3 linked regions of the Tribolium castaneum genome follow. The protein of the gene in region 3 purifies or fractionates together with the protein of the main gene of each other region. This does not show direct contact. Links are inferred from orthologs where the notes say so. Each region holds a gene or a part of one and is shown on either strand. Other genes may lie near its edges. The genes, in order: Cdc45, Psf2 and Mcm3.

The links.
Region 1: the proteins of Mcm3 (region 3) and Cdc45 purify together in Drosophila melanogaster (affinity purification with western blotting; 5 studies listed by BioGRID, with this or other methods). This does not show direct contact. The link is inferred for Tribolium castaneum from reciprocal best matches to the Drosophila melanogaster genes Mcm3 and Cdc45.
Region 2: the proteins of Mcm3 (region 3) and Psf2 purify together in Drosophila melanogaster (affinity purification with western blotting; 3 studies listed by BioGRID, with this or other methods). This does not show direct contact. The link is inferred for Tribolium castaneum from reciprocal best matches to the Drosophila melanogaster genes Mcm3 and Psf2.

Annotation. Positions count from the first base shown.
Region 1 is NC_087401.1:7,771,313-7,776,615, forward strand, and holds the end of Cdc45 (cell division control protein 45 homolog), read right to left. Parts: coding exon 5,218-5,303; intron 5,168-5,217; coding exon 4,968-5,167; intron 2,164-4,967; coding exon 2,087-2,163; intron 2,039-2,086; coding exon 1,971-2,038; 3' UTR 1,874-1,970; downstream 1-1,873. Other genes in the region: nucleoredoxin, read left to right, coding at 1,456-1,826.
Region 2 is NC_087395.1:26,563,596-26,568,851, reverse strand, and holds Psf2 (probable DNA replication complex GINS protein PSF2), read left to right. Parts: upstream 1-3,166; 5' UTR 3,167-3,173; coding exon 3,174-3,421; intron 3,422-3,464; coding exon 3,465-3,735; intron 3,736-3,783; coding exon 3,784-3,864; 3' UTR 3,865-3,900; downstream 3,901-5,256. Other genes in the region: glutamate receptor ionotropic, kainate glr-3, read left to right, coding at 1-480, 514-800, 853-1,287, 1,334-1,689, 1,737-2,052, 2,107-2,128; RWD domain-containing protein 4, read left to right, coding at 4,001-4,105, 4,153-4,262, 4,311-4,494, 4,657-4,824; RUS family member 1, read right to left, coding at 4,905-4,984, 5,035-5,212. UniProt on the Drosophila melanogaster protein: The GINS complex plays an essential role in the initiation of DNA replication.
Region 3 is NC_087400.1:2,692,149-2,698,957, forward strand, and holds Mcm3 (DNA replication licensing factor Mcm3), read right to left. Parts: upstream 3,721-6,809; 5' UTR 3,592-3,720; coding exon 3,520-3,591; intron 3,466-3,519; coding exon 3,144-3,465; intron 3,098-3,143; coding exon 2,967-3,097; intron 2,917-2,966; coding exon 2,678-2,916; intron 2,410-2,677; coding exon 2,116-2,409; intron 2,063-2,115; coding exon 1,756-2,062; intron 1,702-1,755; coding exon 1,553-1,701; intron 1,294-1,552; coding exon 990-1,293; intron 919-989; coding exon 400-918; 3' UTR 354-399; downstream 1-353. Other genes in the region: RNA-binding protein 7, read left to right, coding at 1-342. UniProt on the Drosophila melanogaster protein: Acts as a component of the Mcm2-7 complex (Mcm complex) (Mcm complex) which is the putative replicative helicase essential for 'once per cell cycle' DNA replication initiation and elongation in eukaryotic cells.

The sequences.
Region 1 (5,303 bases), on a different chromosome or scaffold from region 3:
CAAAGAAACAATTGAATTTCATTTCCTCAAATGTCACCGTGTATTCAAATAAATTATTTTCAAAATAGCTGATTTTCCGGAACTACGAGAAATTGGTGCCAACTTTGAAATTTTTAATAGTAACCACCTATTTTTATTGCATTTTTGAATTCGCCTCTTGAAACTGAGTAAAATGTACTTAGTACTTATCTGCCATAGTTTTTGACGTATGTCAATTTTTTATACAAATTTTCACTTACAGGGGTTTATTTAAAATATCACAGCTCGTGAACCCTTTACAATAAGGGAATAATTCTTCTTGCAATTGATAGCCAAAGGTTTGAAGGGTTTTCTCAAATCTTCAGGATTGCCAACTATCAAATTACAAGCCTACTATGATTTTTTGAAAATGATGCTCAAAAAATAATTATAAAACAGTTTTTTCAAATGGAATGACCCCTCAATGGCAATCAAAAGCGCATCAATTTTTTTATTTTTATTATCATCATCTATATCTATTTCTTTCAGTTTTTGAATAATTGCAATAAACAGAATTTTAGCTCATTACTTTCATTTTTAATCAAGTAAACTTTCGAGGAATTCGATAAAATTGTGCTATTAACTAAAAAAAAATATCCAATTTGTTTACGATTTTCATTCAAACAGTTCAAAATTCAATGGCAGACTAAGCGAGTTACTTTACAGCACTAAGTTATAATAAACTATAATTAAATATTATAATTTTACTACTTATTCGATAATGAACCTCACCTAAAAACTAAATAAGATATTGAAGTTTGACAATTGTTGACCATTTTGCAAGGTCTACTTGATTAACTATGAAAATTACCAACTAAAATCCGTTTTTTGTGATTTTTTCAAAAACGGTAAGACATAGGTATCGGACGCATTGATAAAAGTCACAGTCAGGACGTGCCATTTGAAAAATTAAGATATAGCAGTTTTTTGATAACCATTGTGGAAAGATCCTACTAGCCATGAATTTTGACAGTCGACAATTTTGAAAAATCTAGAAGACTCTTCAGACCTTCACTTATCGCAAAGGGTTCAAGGGCTGTGATATTTGAGATAAACATTTGCAAAAAAAATGTTAACAAAAAAATTTACATATATGTCAAAAACTATAACAGATAAGTAAGTACAAACAACTTGGGTAAATTTTACTCAGCTTGAGAGGGTAAATTCAAGTATGCAATAAAAATGTGTGGTTACTATTTAAAATTTTAAACTTGGCGCCATTTTTTGTAGATGAGAAAGCTCAACTACTTCGGAAATATTTAGTTGAACTCAGATTGGATCGTATGCAAAATTTTTAAACTCCAGCTATATTAGAAGTTAAAAAATTTGTAATGTAGGCCCTAAAAGATTCATCCTGTATATAATGTTCACTCGTATGTTAAGAACAGTAATTTTTTAACAATTATTTTTATCTTTTTACAAACTTTTATTTCCCAGACGGCGAAGAGACCGAACTCCAGTTCGCAGAATCGGTCCTGTCCCCAGCCGCCGACTCCTACTACAAGAAGCACAACATCAACTTCAACTCAGCCCCTGAGGACTTCTTCTCCAACTGCGAGGACGACCACTACCTCCAGTTCCTCATCGGGCTCGACTCCGAAACCAGCGACATTCTCCGCGACTTGATCGGTCTCGATGACGTGGTGCCCCTCCTCGTTGGCATCGACATCCCCAACCGACGCTTCGCCGTCATGGAGTACGGCGTGGAAATCACCGTCGACTCCGTCAGCGACTTCGTCGAGCGCTTCCAAAAAGGCGAAGTGAAATTCATCGAATTGAACGAACGAGTGGGAGAGGAACAGAGTTAGGTGGTGTAAGGTGTAGCAGTGTAGATGAGTTAATCAAAAGTGTACAGTTTGTTGTTTTGTAGCATTTAATTACCTATAAAATAGTGTCAATTCACACAATTATATACAATTGAAAAATAAATAAAAAAAATTATTTACACTATTTTATTTGTCGAAAAGTGCAGTCAATGCGTCAAAAAACCTCGTCCTGTCCTTGATATTAATCTCAAAATCTGAAAAAATCCACTACTTTCGACAAACAAACAAAAAAATTAACTTACAAGAAGTGTCAAAATAATCCGACAAGACTTCATAATTTATATTTTCAGCTGCTTCCTCAAAGGCCCGGCCTAAATTACTAAAATCACAATATAAAAATAAAATCACCAAATTGTACAGCTGCCTAAAAAGAAAACGACGCGTCCATAAAAAACCTTATTTCTTTGCGAATTAATGAAAAAAATTGAAGATTTATTTATTTCATTAAAGTTTTTGTTGCAAAATAAAATAAGTGACAATTAAAAAAAAGATCATTTCTTTTTGTTGTCGGTGTAGTATTTTCATTAAAGACTGAAAGATCACTTTGCTATCGGTTGTCCAAAAAATATTTTAAATTAAAAAATAATTATTATTTATAAAATCTCACTGCTACAAATTATACAGGCTGATTCTTTTGGGGCCGACATTATAAACTTTTTAACTTCTAATATAGCTAGAGCTTTAAGATTTTGTATACAATCTAAATCAATCGACCATTATGAGTTCAACAAAATTATTTTCAAAATGACAAAATTTCCGGAACTACAAGAAATTGGCGCCAACTTTGAAATTTGAAATAGTAACCACCTATTTTTATTGCATTTTTGAATTCGCTTCTTGAAACTGAGTAACATGTACCCAGTTGTTAGTACTTATCTGTCATAGTTTTTGACGTATGTCAATTTTTTTATACAAATTTTCATTTGCGGGGGTTCATTTAAAATATTACAGCTCGTGAACCCTTTACAATAAGTGAATAATCTTGCATTTGATAGCCAAAAGTTTAAAGAGTCTTTTTAAGTCTTTAGGATTACCAACTGTCAAATTGCAAGGCTAATATGATTTTTTAAAAAAGATGATTAAAAAATGATTATAAAAGAGTTTTTTTAATGAAATGATTGATGGCAGTCAAAAAAAACATCAATTGTTATGCAGACTTTTATTAACATCTTCTATATCTATGTCTTACAGTTTTTGAAATAATCGCAAAAAACTGAATTTTAGCTCATTATTTTCATGTTTAATCAAGTAAACTTTCGAAAAATACGACAAAATTGTGCTATTAATTAAAACAAATGTTCGATTTGTTCACCATTTTCGTTCAAGAAGTTCCAAATCCGATGGCAGACTGACTGAGTTACTTTTCAGTTTTGTTGCTTATTGGATAATGAACCAGCTAAAAACTAAATAAAATATTGAAGTTTGACAATTATTGACCATTTTACTGGTCTACTTGATTAACTATGAAAATTAAAAAGTAAAATCCGTTTTTGGGATTTTTTTCAAAAACTGTATGAAATAGGTATAGGACGGGTTGATAAAAGTCACCATAAATATGGATATTCTTTCGATTGCCATTAAAAAAAGGGGGTCGTTCGAGTTGAAAAAACAGAGTTAATAGCAGTTTTTTGAGAACCATTTTGAAAAATCATACTAGCCATGAATTTTGACAGTTGACAATTTCGAAAATTCTAGAAAGCTCTGCAAACCTTCGGTTATCAATTGCAAAAAAATTATTCACTTTATCGCAAAGGGTTCAAGGGATGTGATTTCTTAGATAAACTCTTGCAAATAAAAATTTTAACAAAAAAATTGACATATATCGAAAACTATAACAGGTAAGTACCAACAACTTGGGTAAATTTTACTCAGCTTGAGAAGGTGAATTCAGATATGCAATAAGAATGTGTGGTTACTATTTAAAAATTTCAAACTTGGCGTCAATTTTTTGTAGTTCCGAAAGCATTTTGGCATTTTGAAACCAATTTAGTTGAACTCAGAATGGTCGATTTAAATGATATACAAAATTTTAAAGCTCTAACTGTATTAAAAGTTGAAAAATATCCATAAAACTGTCCATAAATTGTTCATAAAACAAAATAGAAAACAAAATTATAGTAATACAATTGTATTTCAAATTTCACGTAAAGATGTCTGTACTTTTAATCGTTTTAATTATTAACCACAAAAAAGGTTTTATTAAAATTTTTGTTTATTAAATGTTTCAATTAGTGTAACCAGAATAAAAAAGTTATCAATGAACATTAAAGTATTTCATTTATGGAAATACCATGATTAAAATTTTGACCATTACTGCAAATAAGGTTCACTGGAAATATTTAACAACACCTACACAAGACCACAGTCACCACAAGAGATAACTTAAGACCAAATTTTTCCAATTCTTCTTCAAACTGATAACCATTTATAATTTTTTTTAAAACAAATGAAAGATTAAAAAAAATCAAGTTTGTCACGACGTTTTGACCCTTTAAGAGGGCAGAAAAATTGTCGATTTGTTTGCAAATTTAAATTATTAGTTCATTAATGCAAAATAAGTTCAAGAGTCGGTTTACAGAACATTTTAATTGCAATAAAAATTTTTCTGAGATTAACTTTACATTTGTCAATCTATTTTCAGTGGCAACTTAATGTCGAATTAGTTTTATTCCGAATTAAGTTTTAATTTCGCTTTCTGTAAAGTTAACCGGTTCTAAATGCCCAATTATTATTTCATTTTATTTACAATACCATTTCCAATTCATAAATTATTTAAGTAGTTAAATTGTCACTGCATTTTGTATCTGTTTAATTTTTATAAGTTGTTGAATTCAAAAAAGCGAACCCACAAAAAATAATCTCTTTTTTAAATTGAATTGCCACAAATTTTTTGGAAATGAAAAATTATAACTTTAAGAAAACTTGAAGCTTTAAAACTTTGCTTTAAGATTTTCGAACTCAATCCTTTCTTAATTTTTTTCTTTCCGCGATAAATCAATTATTTTGCAACAAAACCTTTTACTTTAAAAAACATATTAAACAGCAAATTAAAGGATTTATGATGGGATTGGTTTATGGTCGCGTCATTTTCTTTTTGGGCGGCTGTACGTTTAGTTTAGTTACTTTTTGGGTGAATTTTGCCTCAGCGGTGGAATCCCCAAAATAACACACGTCCCTAAATCTAGATTTTTTGGTGCTGAAATAATTAAAGGCAAGTCAGGGGCTTTACGATTCCGTGACATTGACACATAAGCCCGTAATATAAATTGTGCCAACAATAACAAAATATATTGGTTTGAAAACATATACCAGTCTAAACAACCCTATAAAACAAAAATTAAAATCAAACAACTTGACTAACAATTCAACTCACTTCTTGTATGATGTAATAAACAAAATTCCCGGCTGTGATAATTTGTTTCATATCAATGGCCGCTTGTACAGTCTTAAAAATCGTCT
Region 2 (5,256 bases), on a different chromosome or scaffold from region 3:
AAAAACGAAGGTTGTCAAATGTACCTAATTCTCCTATCAAATGCCCTTCAAGTCTCGCGTTTGCTACGTTTTGGCGACAAGTACCGTGTTATCAACACCCGTGCGAAATTTGTTCTCCTTTATGACAACCGCCTTTTCGACAAACCCCTTTTCTACCTTTGGAAACGCATAATCAATGTGATTTTTATCCGGCGATACAGTGGTCAAAAATCAGACACCAAGAAAAACATGCCTTGGTACGAAATCACCACCGTACCATTCCCCACTCAAATCACCTCAATCCTCATCCCTCGTCGATTAGACATTTGGACCAAATCGAAATTTCGCAAAGGAATTGATTTATTTCGTGACAAAACCTCCGATTTACGCAACCAAACTCTCAAAGTTGCGGCTTTTAGCCACATTCCAGGTACCACCAAAAGTTTGCAAGAGAAGACTGCAAGAACAGTCATTGGGAATTTCTCAGGGACTGAAGTTGAAGTGAGTTGTCAACGAATTGATGTTTATTTGTAGATTTTGCAAACGGTTTCAGCCGCCATGAACTTCCATTGTGAGCTTTACGAACCGGTGAATGTTGATGTGGATTTGTGGGGTGGGAAACAAAGCTCAGGGAAGTACACAGGCTTAGTGGGTGAGATGGTTAGTACCAACGCCGATATAGCGCTAGGGGATTTGTACTACACTCCGTACATTCTTGATTTGATGGATTTAAGCATTCCTTATAATACCGAGTGTCTCACGTTTCTAACACCTGAGTCACTGACTGATAATTCGTGGAAAACACTGATTCTACCTTTCAAGTATTTTAGGTTTGAATCTATACTTAGAATTAGTTTAAAACAAAAATTTTAGACCGGCAATGTGGGCTGCAGTCCTAGTTTGTCTTTTAATTTGTGGTGCCGTTTTTCATGCTTTAGCACGGTTTCATGAAACTATAAGCCAGAATAAATCGCAAGTTTTAGAAATTCATACGAAACGCAAAAAAATCATAATTTTATCAATTTGTCCCGAAATCGAGAAACTTGATTCTAATCTTAAATACACAAAAATGAGGGAACAATACAAACCTCCACGATTTGAAGGCCAGTCAATCGGACTCTATCAATTCAGTGAACCTTTCAATAGTGTTTTGTACACCTATAGTATGCTACTTTTAGTTTCTTTGCCCAAATTACCAACAGGTTGGTCGCTTCGCATGTTAACAGGGTGGTACTGGCTTTATTGTTTGCTACTTGTGGTAGCTTATAGGGCCAGTATGACTGCTATTTTAGCACGACCAACTCCTCGGTACTTCGGTCCAACTGCATTTTCCTTTTTTTAAATAAAATTGTAGCGTCACAATTGACACTCTTCAAGAATTGGTAAACAGTCGGTTGAAATGCGGCGGTTGGGGCGAAATAAATCGCCAGTTTTTTAAATCATCTCTCGACCCAATAACGAAATTAATCGGCGAAAATTTCGAACTAGTTAACGATTCAAACGAAGCAGTTGATCGTGTGGCACAAGGCGTGTTCGCATTTTACGAAAACAGCTATTACCTGAAGGAAGCTTTAGTAAAAAGACAATTACGATTTCAAATCGCTAGGACCACTCAGAATCAGTCCGAAAGAGAAATGCGCGATATTGCACGAGAGGATCGTAATTTGCATATAATGACGGACTGTGTCATCAAAATGCCCATTTCGATCGGTGAGATTAAACTAAACCGGAAAAATGCTTGACTGGGAGTTTTGCAGGGTTGCAGAAAAACTCACCGATTAAACCACGAGTTGATAAATATATTAGGCGAGTTTTGGAAGCTGGATTGATTAAAAAGTGGTTGCAAGACGTGATGGCGTCGATTTTAAACGCCGAAGTACAAAGTACGCAAGAGGAAATGAAAGCGATCATGAACATGAAAAAGTTTTTTGGGGCAATTGTAGCTCTATTTATTGGTTATTTCATCAGTGTTGTCGTATTAATTGTGGAGAATGTTTACTTTCATTTCTTTGTCAAAAGGAATCCGCATTACAACAAATACACCAGAAGCATTCATCACGTAAAAAAAGCGGAGTAATTATTACATGCATTCTTTTAGACTGTTCTTGTACTTCATTACTTTATTAGGAAATTTCATTTGACTTTCTGAGAGATAACAACAACATTAGTACTAACCACGATATAGAGACAGACAGGTAAACCAACTCGCTATTATAATTGATTCTAACGCTGGAGCAAGTTGATAGACGGCAGCACGGTAGACTGGGACTGTCACAATTTCACAAATTTTCTTTGTTTTTTATAAAAAAAATGATGCGAAATTAAAAAATGTTATCTCAGCACCCAAGTTAGTCATCTTGTAACAACTTCTGCTTTTTTCGCGCTGAAATAATAATATTTTCTGAATAGTTCTAAACTTCGGTTCGATGCATTTTCGGCCGCGAAAGACATCGAAACATTGAAGTCAGAATAAATGCTTTCCAGAAAAAAAACTCCACTACCATTCGGTGCTGGCATCCTTCAGGTATTAATTGTTCTTCATAAATGTCGTATTTTTAACAACGTGATGCGTGTATCTTTTTTCTTGTAAACATTGTGACAGTCCCAGTCTACGCTGGTGCCATCTGTCAGATAAAATAAAAGCTCCAACTTGCTCCACATTTTGGTTTGCGCCCGACAATGGAAAATAAGGGAAGTTGGTTCACCAGGACTATCTATACATGGTGGTACTAACTGTGACAACTGTCAAAAGCAGCGTATTGGTGTAAAGTCAAAGCCCTCTTGACAATTTTTCCAAAAGTGTGATTACAGGCATTTATCAAACTTTTTGAGCAAAATAATCCTTCCTATTAAGAGTTGATTGAAATGTTTCACATCTTTGTCTTTGTCGTTTTCTCTTTGAAGTCACGCAAAATTTTCCCCATCTGCCCCCCTCAAAAATCTAAGTTGTGTCGTTAAGGGTAACTGTGACAAAAAGACCTATGACGATTCTGTGGGTGTAAGACAGCGCGCAACCCCTTATATATTAGTATAGTCATGTATAGTATAATTTATTAAATAAAAAACACGGTTTTCGCACTTTATTTTTAAATGATTTGTGAACTTGGCATTATTCAATTTCGCGCATGCGCCTTACTTTTGGCGCCAAAATTATTGAGGTTATTCAAACGTGAAAAATCTTCGACCATTGAAAAATGGATCCTGAAGAGGTTGAATTTTTGGGTGAGAAACAACTAGTCACGATTGTCCCACTGACCACAGACGATGACTACCTTAAACTAATTTCGGGTGATTTTGGCCCATTTCGTATGGGTATGCCTGTTAAAGTACCGTTATGGGTTGCTGTCCAATTAAAGCGACAAAAACATTGCAAAATACAACCCCCTGATTGGATGGAAATCGAGACTTTGGAGGCGATTAAAAACGAAGAGAAACTTTCTAGGTGTGAGTACTTTTGTTAGCCTTTAAGTGCAACAAAATTGTAGGAACTTTACGAAAATGCCCAGTAAGTTCTACATGGTCGAAGCGAAACAAATTTTGGGGTGCGCCTCTGATGATATTTCACGTGCGGATGAAATAAGAACGATAATTAAAGATATTTGGGACATAAGAATGTCAAAATTGAGGTCTTCAATTGATTTATTGGTTCGGAATAATGGGGCTTCTGCTGTCGTTACAAACTTAACTTTGATGGAAATTAATTCGATTAGACCGATTTTACCACACACTTTAGATCAGATACGCCGAATGAAAAACGTGAGTGATTTTTTCTAGTAAAAAAGGGAGGTTATGTGAATTTTTTAGTTTAAACCGTTTCACGGCTGGCGTTCCCAGGACACATCCTTTGTATCAGATTCACGGAGCTCCACTAGTTTTCACTCTTGATTATGTATAAAATCCAAATAAAATCTTTGAAATCTGTCTTCTGTCAAATTATTAAGGTTATGTCACCCGAAAGTTGGGTTATGTATTTTTAGAAAATTTTACATTTTTGTAAATAGAAATGTTTTAAATTGTTACAATGTCAGAGACTGAGCTTCAGGATGAAGAGCGCGAAGTTCTGTCGTCAATTTACGACGGAGACGACTGTTTTAAGCAGATTTCGTCCAACACCTTCCAATATAAAGTGAGTCATTTGGGGGCCCAAAACAATTACAATAACCATTTTTTCAGTATGGGGAGAGTGATGCTACGAAATCATTTCTATTGGAAATACAATGGGGTGAAAAGTACCCCAACGCAGCACCTAAAGTGAACATGGACACTTTTTACAATAAACACATGTAAGTGCTCCCCTTTGTTCAAAGTTCGTTCTCAAGTCGTGTGTTTAGTATCAAGCCTTTGAAAGACAAGATTGTGTCTGCGGTGGAAGAGGAGGCGCAACAGTATTTAGGAATGTCAATGACTTACTCCTTGTTTGAATTTATCAAAGAAAAATTTGAGGTGCTTATGTTGGAACAACCGGAAGAAATTGCGGAAACGGTTGAGAAATCACCTAGCCCCGAACTTGAACAAGTTAGTAATTTCATATTTAGTTATCCATGGAAATGAAAAGGCATTACTTTGATTGAACCATTTGTGGTAAATGTCAAAATAGTGGTGGTTTTAATTAATTTCATTTACATGGATGACTAGATGACGACTTTTTTTTATTATACGATATATTTTTTTTTAAAGGCGACGAGTCAGAAAGTTCCAAAAAAGGAACACTTGACCAAAGCCCAAAAGCGCCGTCAGTGGAATCGAATTGACAATAAAGGGGAGAAGCCCCGAGGCTGGAATTGGGTCGATATTATCAAACATTTATCGCAAACAGGGCCTAAAGAACCAACACCCACGTCATAAATAACTGTATTTTTATTAAAAATATATATTTTTTATCAAAAACTGTTATTCATTCAACCATAAAAACTGTATAAAAATATTTATAATGACTTTTTATCAAAGTCTTTCCATTGCGCTCGCCACTCGTCCACGTAAAGGCAGTGACTGTCGGTTTTCCACCCTAAAAAAAAAGAAAATTGTTGGTAATGAATTAATTTCAATTCTTTTTACCATTGACTTGCAGCGCTGTGAAAAACATTTCGATTTCTTGTCCCACAAATTCGGTAAAAGCTTGTAGGAGGGGTGGGGGGAGATTACTAGCTATGTTATTATTTTGGTAGTTTTTCATAAAAGTACTCAATCTGGTGATTGGAGTGGAATGATGTAATTGTCGCTTTGAATAAATTTCCTACAAAAAAAATCTAAATTTTTTTGGTGATTTAAATAACTACA
Region 3 (6,809 bases):
GAGTTATTTCTGCAAGTGGCCCCCTTAGAGCGCGTCCGAATCCCAACCGACAAAAGCGGCCGTAAAACAAACTACGGCTTCGTTACAGTCAAACACGAGTGCTCCGTTAGTTACGCCGTGCGCCTACTTGACGGTACCCCCCTTTTCGACCGCAGGATCATCATAAAACCGAAGGGCCAAAATGTTCAGCAGCCCAGCCCTGGAGACATGTACAGGAACCCCTACCAGCACAACAGGCCCCACCGGCAGACGCCCTACCAAAGGTACGACAATCATAATCACAACCACAACCATAGGCCCAACTGGAATAATAATAATCACAGGAACCGCAGGAGATATTGAAATAAAACCAATTTTTTATTAAAAAAATCGCAGTTTTTATTTAATTAATTGTTACAATTAGATGAGAAATACGATCCCGTCCGCCAACATCACTTGGTTGGCTTCAGTCATTTGGTCAATTGCGGCTCGGATTTCGCCTTGGCTGAAGGGGGCTATATTGTCAGTGTTGACGGAGTCGCGGATGCGGGCAAGACTTAGAGACTGCGCCCTGTTGTCCCGGAAAGCCCTGTCGAGACTTGACCGAAACTGAGTCAGCCTCTCACTCGTGATCATGGCAGGCGTTGAGTCAATTTCAATTGTTTCAGTCTCCATTTCTTCCTCACTTTCTTCCACTTCTTGCCGCGATTTCTTCGTTCTTTGTGATTCCTCCTCCATTTCTTCATTTTCGGACTCGGATTGTGCGTTTCTTCGCCGTTTTTTCTCCTTCTCGAGCACTTTTTTGAAATAGGCATATTGCACCAATTCAATTGCTGCGTAGGCGTCTTGTGCGGTAACAGTGCGAGACATGCGGGCTTTGGCATGCGCTGTGGCCAATCGGATCATGGTTTCAAGCGTACGGGGTGTCACAGGTTGTGTCTTCGAAAAAAAAATTATGCACGAGACGAAGACGAGTGACTATACCAAAAAAACCTATAAGTGGAACCTACCCGGGCGACGTGATTTTCAAGGACGTCCTCCGACCTGAGTTTGGAGTACTCATCGGCGATGATTTCCGACGCTTGTTCGGTTAGTGTCGGTTTGAGGATTTTCACGAAATGGATGTATTTACGCATGAAATCCACACTTAGGATTTTGTCGGTTTTTTTGCGACTTTCACCGTGTAGAAGTGCGTCGTATTTTTCATACATGGGGGTGACCTTGTCGTCGTCGACTTCCTCGGGGCGCATTGTACTCAACATGTCCACGCTTGAGCCCATTGGCAGGACTTCGCCATCTTGCTCACCCGGATTTCTAATATTTTTATCAAGTTCAAAATTAGTATTTATAATTTTTTATTAATTTTTTTTTACTTATTTATTTTTAATTAACTGTATCTGTCATTTTAAAGTCATATTATTTATTATTTATATTATTAACCCCCTTGGAGGTGGAAGTTCAATTTGCAGATTTAAATTAATTAACTATATTTTTTGGGTACGATTTTGTATCTCGTTCCGCCTCCTAACACACAGTCCTCCGTAGTCCGCACAAGCCTACTAAAAAAAAATACCTATATCGGTGCATCCTGACCACGTGATCCGAAATCATCAAATCATGATCCTCATCCACTGAATCCAACATCACGAACAGCAAATCAAACCGCGACAGGAGCGAGTCTTGCAACCCGATGTTTTCCATTGGCGTCTTGTACTGATCATACTACAAATCACCCAATCAAATCGCTGCTTTCGCAACCGACCAATCAAACCCCACCTTTCCGTAAACCGGATTGGCCGCCGCCAAAACCGAGCACCTGGCATTCAAACTTGCGTGAATCCCCGCCTTGGCAATAGTGACACGCCCCTGTTCCATGACCTCATGAATGGCCGTCCTGTCCATATCCGACATCTTGTCGAACTCATCAATGCACACGACGCCACGATCGGCCAAAACCATCGCACCGGCCTCTAACCGCCTCTCGCCGGTCTCCTGATCGGTTGTAACCGCTGCGGTTAGACCAACCCCCGACGATCCACGCCCAGTGGTGGGAATGGCCCGAGGGGCGGTGCATAACACGTATCTCCATGGCAACTGCCAATCACAATCAACGATTCACAAATCGAGTCGACTTACCGGAGGAGCTGTGACTTAGCAACGCTGGGATCGCCAATCAGTAACACGTTTATGTCCCCTCTTAGGCGCGTCCCATTGGGCAGGATCTTCTCGACTCCGCCCAAAAGGAGGCACAGGATCGCCTTCTTGATGTACTCGTGGCCGTGGATTGACGGCGCCAAAGACTTGGCTAATAATTCAAAGACGTTTTTGTTCGATTTGGCCAAGTTTTTACATTTGGCGACGTCTTCACGTGAAATGGAAGGATTTGCTTCTTTTGACAGTTGGGACACGTTACTTGCAATCACCACAGTGCTGCAAACATTAATCCCGTGGCAAAAAAATGACTAAATCACACTAATTGTTAACTATTTTTGAATGAAAATAAAGACAGTGGGGCACCAAGTCGGATCAAGTGTGTTGTTTACGTGACTATATTATTGTTTAAAACACATTTTCGTAATGTAATGATTGTTTTATGGCGTCCTGTCAATTCTAGTTCCAAAACCAAAATCACCAGCTTTTTAAAATTTGGCCCCAATTATTTTTTTATGTTTTTGCTTAATAATTATGGGAAAAATACCGGAAAATGCCGTTAGTGAAGCTCCCCTGTTTGTTGGGAAGGCACCGGTAGTTCCCCACCACTTGTATGCGGTCCCCGGGTTTGCACCTATCAACAAGGTCATTATCGCAGATTATATCAACCGAACGGGGCAACTGCCCCGCGGGGGCCTTTTCAGGCATCTCCTGAATGGAAATAGTTTGGTGGTCTTTATACACCGAAAGCCCAAATTCTGTCTCCAATAAATTGCCATCCTCGTCCTAAACCACTCAAATTAATTGATAAAAAATACAAAAAAGACACGACTGACTTTAGTGGGGTACACCGACGATGTGGGGAAGGCATCTAACGAAGTCAAATCAGTGTATTTCCTTTCCATTACTTTTTTCGTTACTGGACAAAAGTGGACACTCCGGACGACCTTGGGGTGCACCAACGAGCCTTAAAAACCAACCGGTAACGCAAGAAAGACGCAAACAAGTCCTACATTTCGTCACAATCCCCTCAACACAGACCAAATTCCCCAAAAACCTCGAAGTCAAACTCCTTGGAGTAACATGCTTATTGCCGAAGCTCCCCTCAAAGGCGATGAAAAACTCGTCGTTTTCCTTGGCATAGTCGTGCGCGACTGTGTAAACATACTCTTTGAGGGCTTTCTGAAACGCCGAATGCTCCTCAAAAGCGTTAGTGAGGAGGGCGGCAGCCCTGGCCGGGTTTTTGCGGCGCAAATCATTGACATTCACCACAAGCCGCAAACTGTGGTCCGCAACCATGTTTTTAACAAGTGTGGCGTACTTGCCTTGGTCCTCCTACGGGAATTTGGGGTTAAAACACGGGGGGAAGGCAACACCACCAATTCGTACCTCGTCATCGAGGAAGTCCAAGTACTCGTGCTGCATGTCGCGGAGGCGCTGGTCTAGCTCCTGGGGGTCCATAATGGGGCACTTAACACTGGAAATGCGGGTAATAACGGGCGAAAACACGGGAGGAGTTTTGGCGGGAAAAGAGCCACAGCGGTGTTGCCAAGTCGGGCCTGGGTGGCCAGATAGCTGGCACCATGAACATTACAATCGACCAGACAAATCATAATAAAAACATCAATAAGCTGTTACAGTGACTTGCATATCACATTTGCAGAACATCTCCTGACCGTTTTAATGTGTTTCTATTACAAATTAAAACTTAACTGCATTTAATTTCTACATTTTTTATTCCCTTATTCTCAGCAATTGTCTGGTCAACTGTCATGTGGGAACAGTGTCTAGCTGTTGACACCTTGTAGCAGCGTGTGAGCGTCGTGAGCGTGTTGTGCATCGATTAACAGGTAAGTCTTGATTGTCTTGATATTTATTAAATGTTATAAGTAAAATGTAATTCGTCTGACATTATGTTTATTTTCAACGATTGTGTCTAAAATTAAAGTAAATCAAATAACTGAATCCTGACCCACGACCACGTGGTTTTTATATTGTAATTGTTTTCGCGTCCAAAACATGGCAGTAATTACATAATAACTAGAATAATTATATTTATTATACTGTTATCACTAGGAAGTTGTAACACGTGTTGTACGGTAGGCAAAATTGCTTATCTGAATTTGTGTTTTTGTAAAGGTTTTTAAATATCGCAGAGAAAATGGCTGCTTAACGCTGACTCGTACTGTAAGTTGTTTCTATTGTTGTAATGTACAACTTTCACTTTCCTGTTAAATGTGCAACCCTCAATCCTTAACCGCTCGTGACGCCCCCCTTCTGGGAGCAGGTAGTTTTTCCTTCTTAAAAAGGACCGTCACAAAAATGAGGGAAGGAGACGCGATGTAGAGCTAAAAGTAAATTGTTGTAACGTTGTAAGTTGTTGGAAGTTTGTAGAGAATAAATCTGTTGAATTTTACACCGAGTATATTAATATTTCCCCTTTCTGAAGTATCACGAAATCGTGGATACAACACTATTCTTAGGTCCAAATCGCACAATAGGTATTTTTTTTATACTTGGAAGTAAGTGAATAATCTCATTTATCGGAAGAAAGGCATACCTATATTCAGAATACCAATTATTCATTAAACTCAACTAGTTTGTTAAAGTTAACTAATTGCCTTTCGCAGTTACTTTATAATAGCATACTTTACAGGCAAATAAGCTTGACCATTAATAAACTTACCTACTCATTCTATCAACAACACAATTTCTCTCAAAGTTAGTTGCATTCCAAAAAAAAATATATATATATATATATACATTACATTATCATTATTACATTATTATCATCGATTAAATTATAATGAAAACATGTCTTTACCACAATTGTTGTTATATTGTTTATTACCGAATCTTTGCTATAAAACTATTATACAATTTATTATATGCTCTTTGGTTAACTTGATAATATTTTTAATCATCTCTCTTAATTTCAATTATCGTTTCAATTTGCTTTATCTGACTATCTTTTCGAGTGATTCTCCTATATTCAAATAAAACTTTTTAGTGTATTCCAAATATGAATAAAATATTTCTTCCAAAGTAATATAATATTCTTTAATTTCTTGATCCGTTTTTGTATTTAATGTTATTATTAGGGATTTAATATTACGAACACTCAATAAAATCCATATTGTTTTATTTAAATTAACTATTTGGCGAAATATTTATAATATATTTTGTTATCAATTTTTTATAATATGATAATTCATTTTTAATCTTATCATAATTTATTATTTGGTATTCTATTTTATAGTTTTCTAAAATTTTCTTTAAATCTTTCTTAATATCGCGTAAATTCAGTGGGGGATAGCCACCCCCCACTGAAATTCCATATTGTATAAAGCATAAAAGATCATTTGTTATTATTATATTTTTCTTTTAAATAACGTAAACCATATATCGGTCAACCACGTACTCAAATTAATTTTATAGGAGTAGTTATTTTTATTTATAAAGTCCAACAGGTTTAATGGATTAGCATTAATTTTATAATTATGTATTGCCTTAAAAGATTATATTCGTTAACGTTAGTTTCCTATTTATCTAGCAATTCTTCTAATTTAAAATGATATTTCCTAACTTTTTTTTGCCTTATTGTTATTCAACATCATTATTAATTCTTTAAAATTTTTAATCATTTTGTATATATTTATACAAATTTGCTTTAGCATTTTTATAATCTATTTCTTCGTATGAGATTTCCTAGTCCTTTAAAAAGTTCTTAAAATCGCGTTATTTCTTCAATAAATCCCATGAATTGAAGCAAATTATTTGTGATTAATATTTTTCTTTTTCTGCAAAAACAACATATTTCCAAAAAAATACGACTATCAATTTTCTCTTAAAATCAACACCTACCTACGTCTTTACTTATAGCATTTGTTGATTTTTCATAACCCAATATTTCTGCTAAATCTTTACCTTTAAACAAAGGTTGATTATCATTGTCTAATATGAAAAATACGTCTTGATCATAAACTTTCAAGTAACAGTATTATCTATGTCAATAATTTAATTTTTAATTTTTCGCTTCTTCTTTCTTGGAAGATAAAATTCTTTCCATACGTTATTTGTCTTCATCATATAATTACATCTAATAGTTTTATTTATTTTATTTTTTATAATACGTAGGTCCCATATTGCCTCGCATATTGTACTAGATCCCTTTTATTACAAGTATTTATTTTTTTGACAATTAATTAAATAAACATTAAATTGATCACCTCCTCCCTATACCACACATATTTTTTTGAATCTCGAGGCTTATCACAAGTTTACCTCAAAAGGGACAGTGTGTTTTATCATGCACTGTTTATAGATAATTTCTTATGAAAAAAATGTAGTAAATTAAATGAATTGCTCACATAACGATGACCAAGAAGCACGACAAATGTTTCAGAAAAGGTTAAACGATATGAGAAGTATATATAATGTATGAAAATAACGTATTAACCTTGGCAAAACTAGATTTTCTTAAAATACACTTTCGTAATCTTGAAGTCTTTGATGAATAAATTTGTTCTAATAAATGACAAGTCTTTGCTCCATTTGTTTGGAATTAAAATGTCCAGATGATTTTTATAACTATAGAAATAAATATGAAAAAACATGTAAACAATGTAAAAAAGCTGTTAATTCTACTCGTTTATTATGTGATTGTGGTAGATATTACA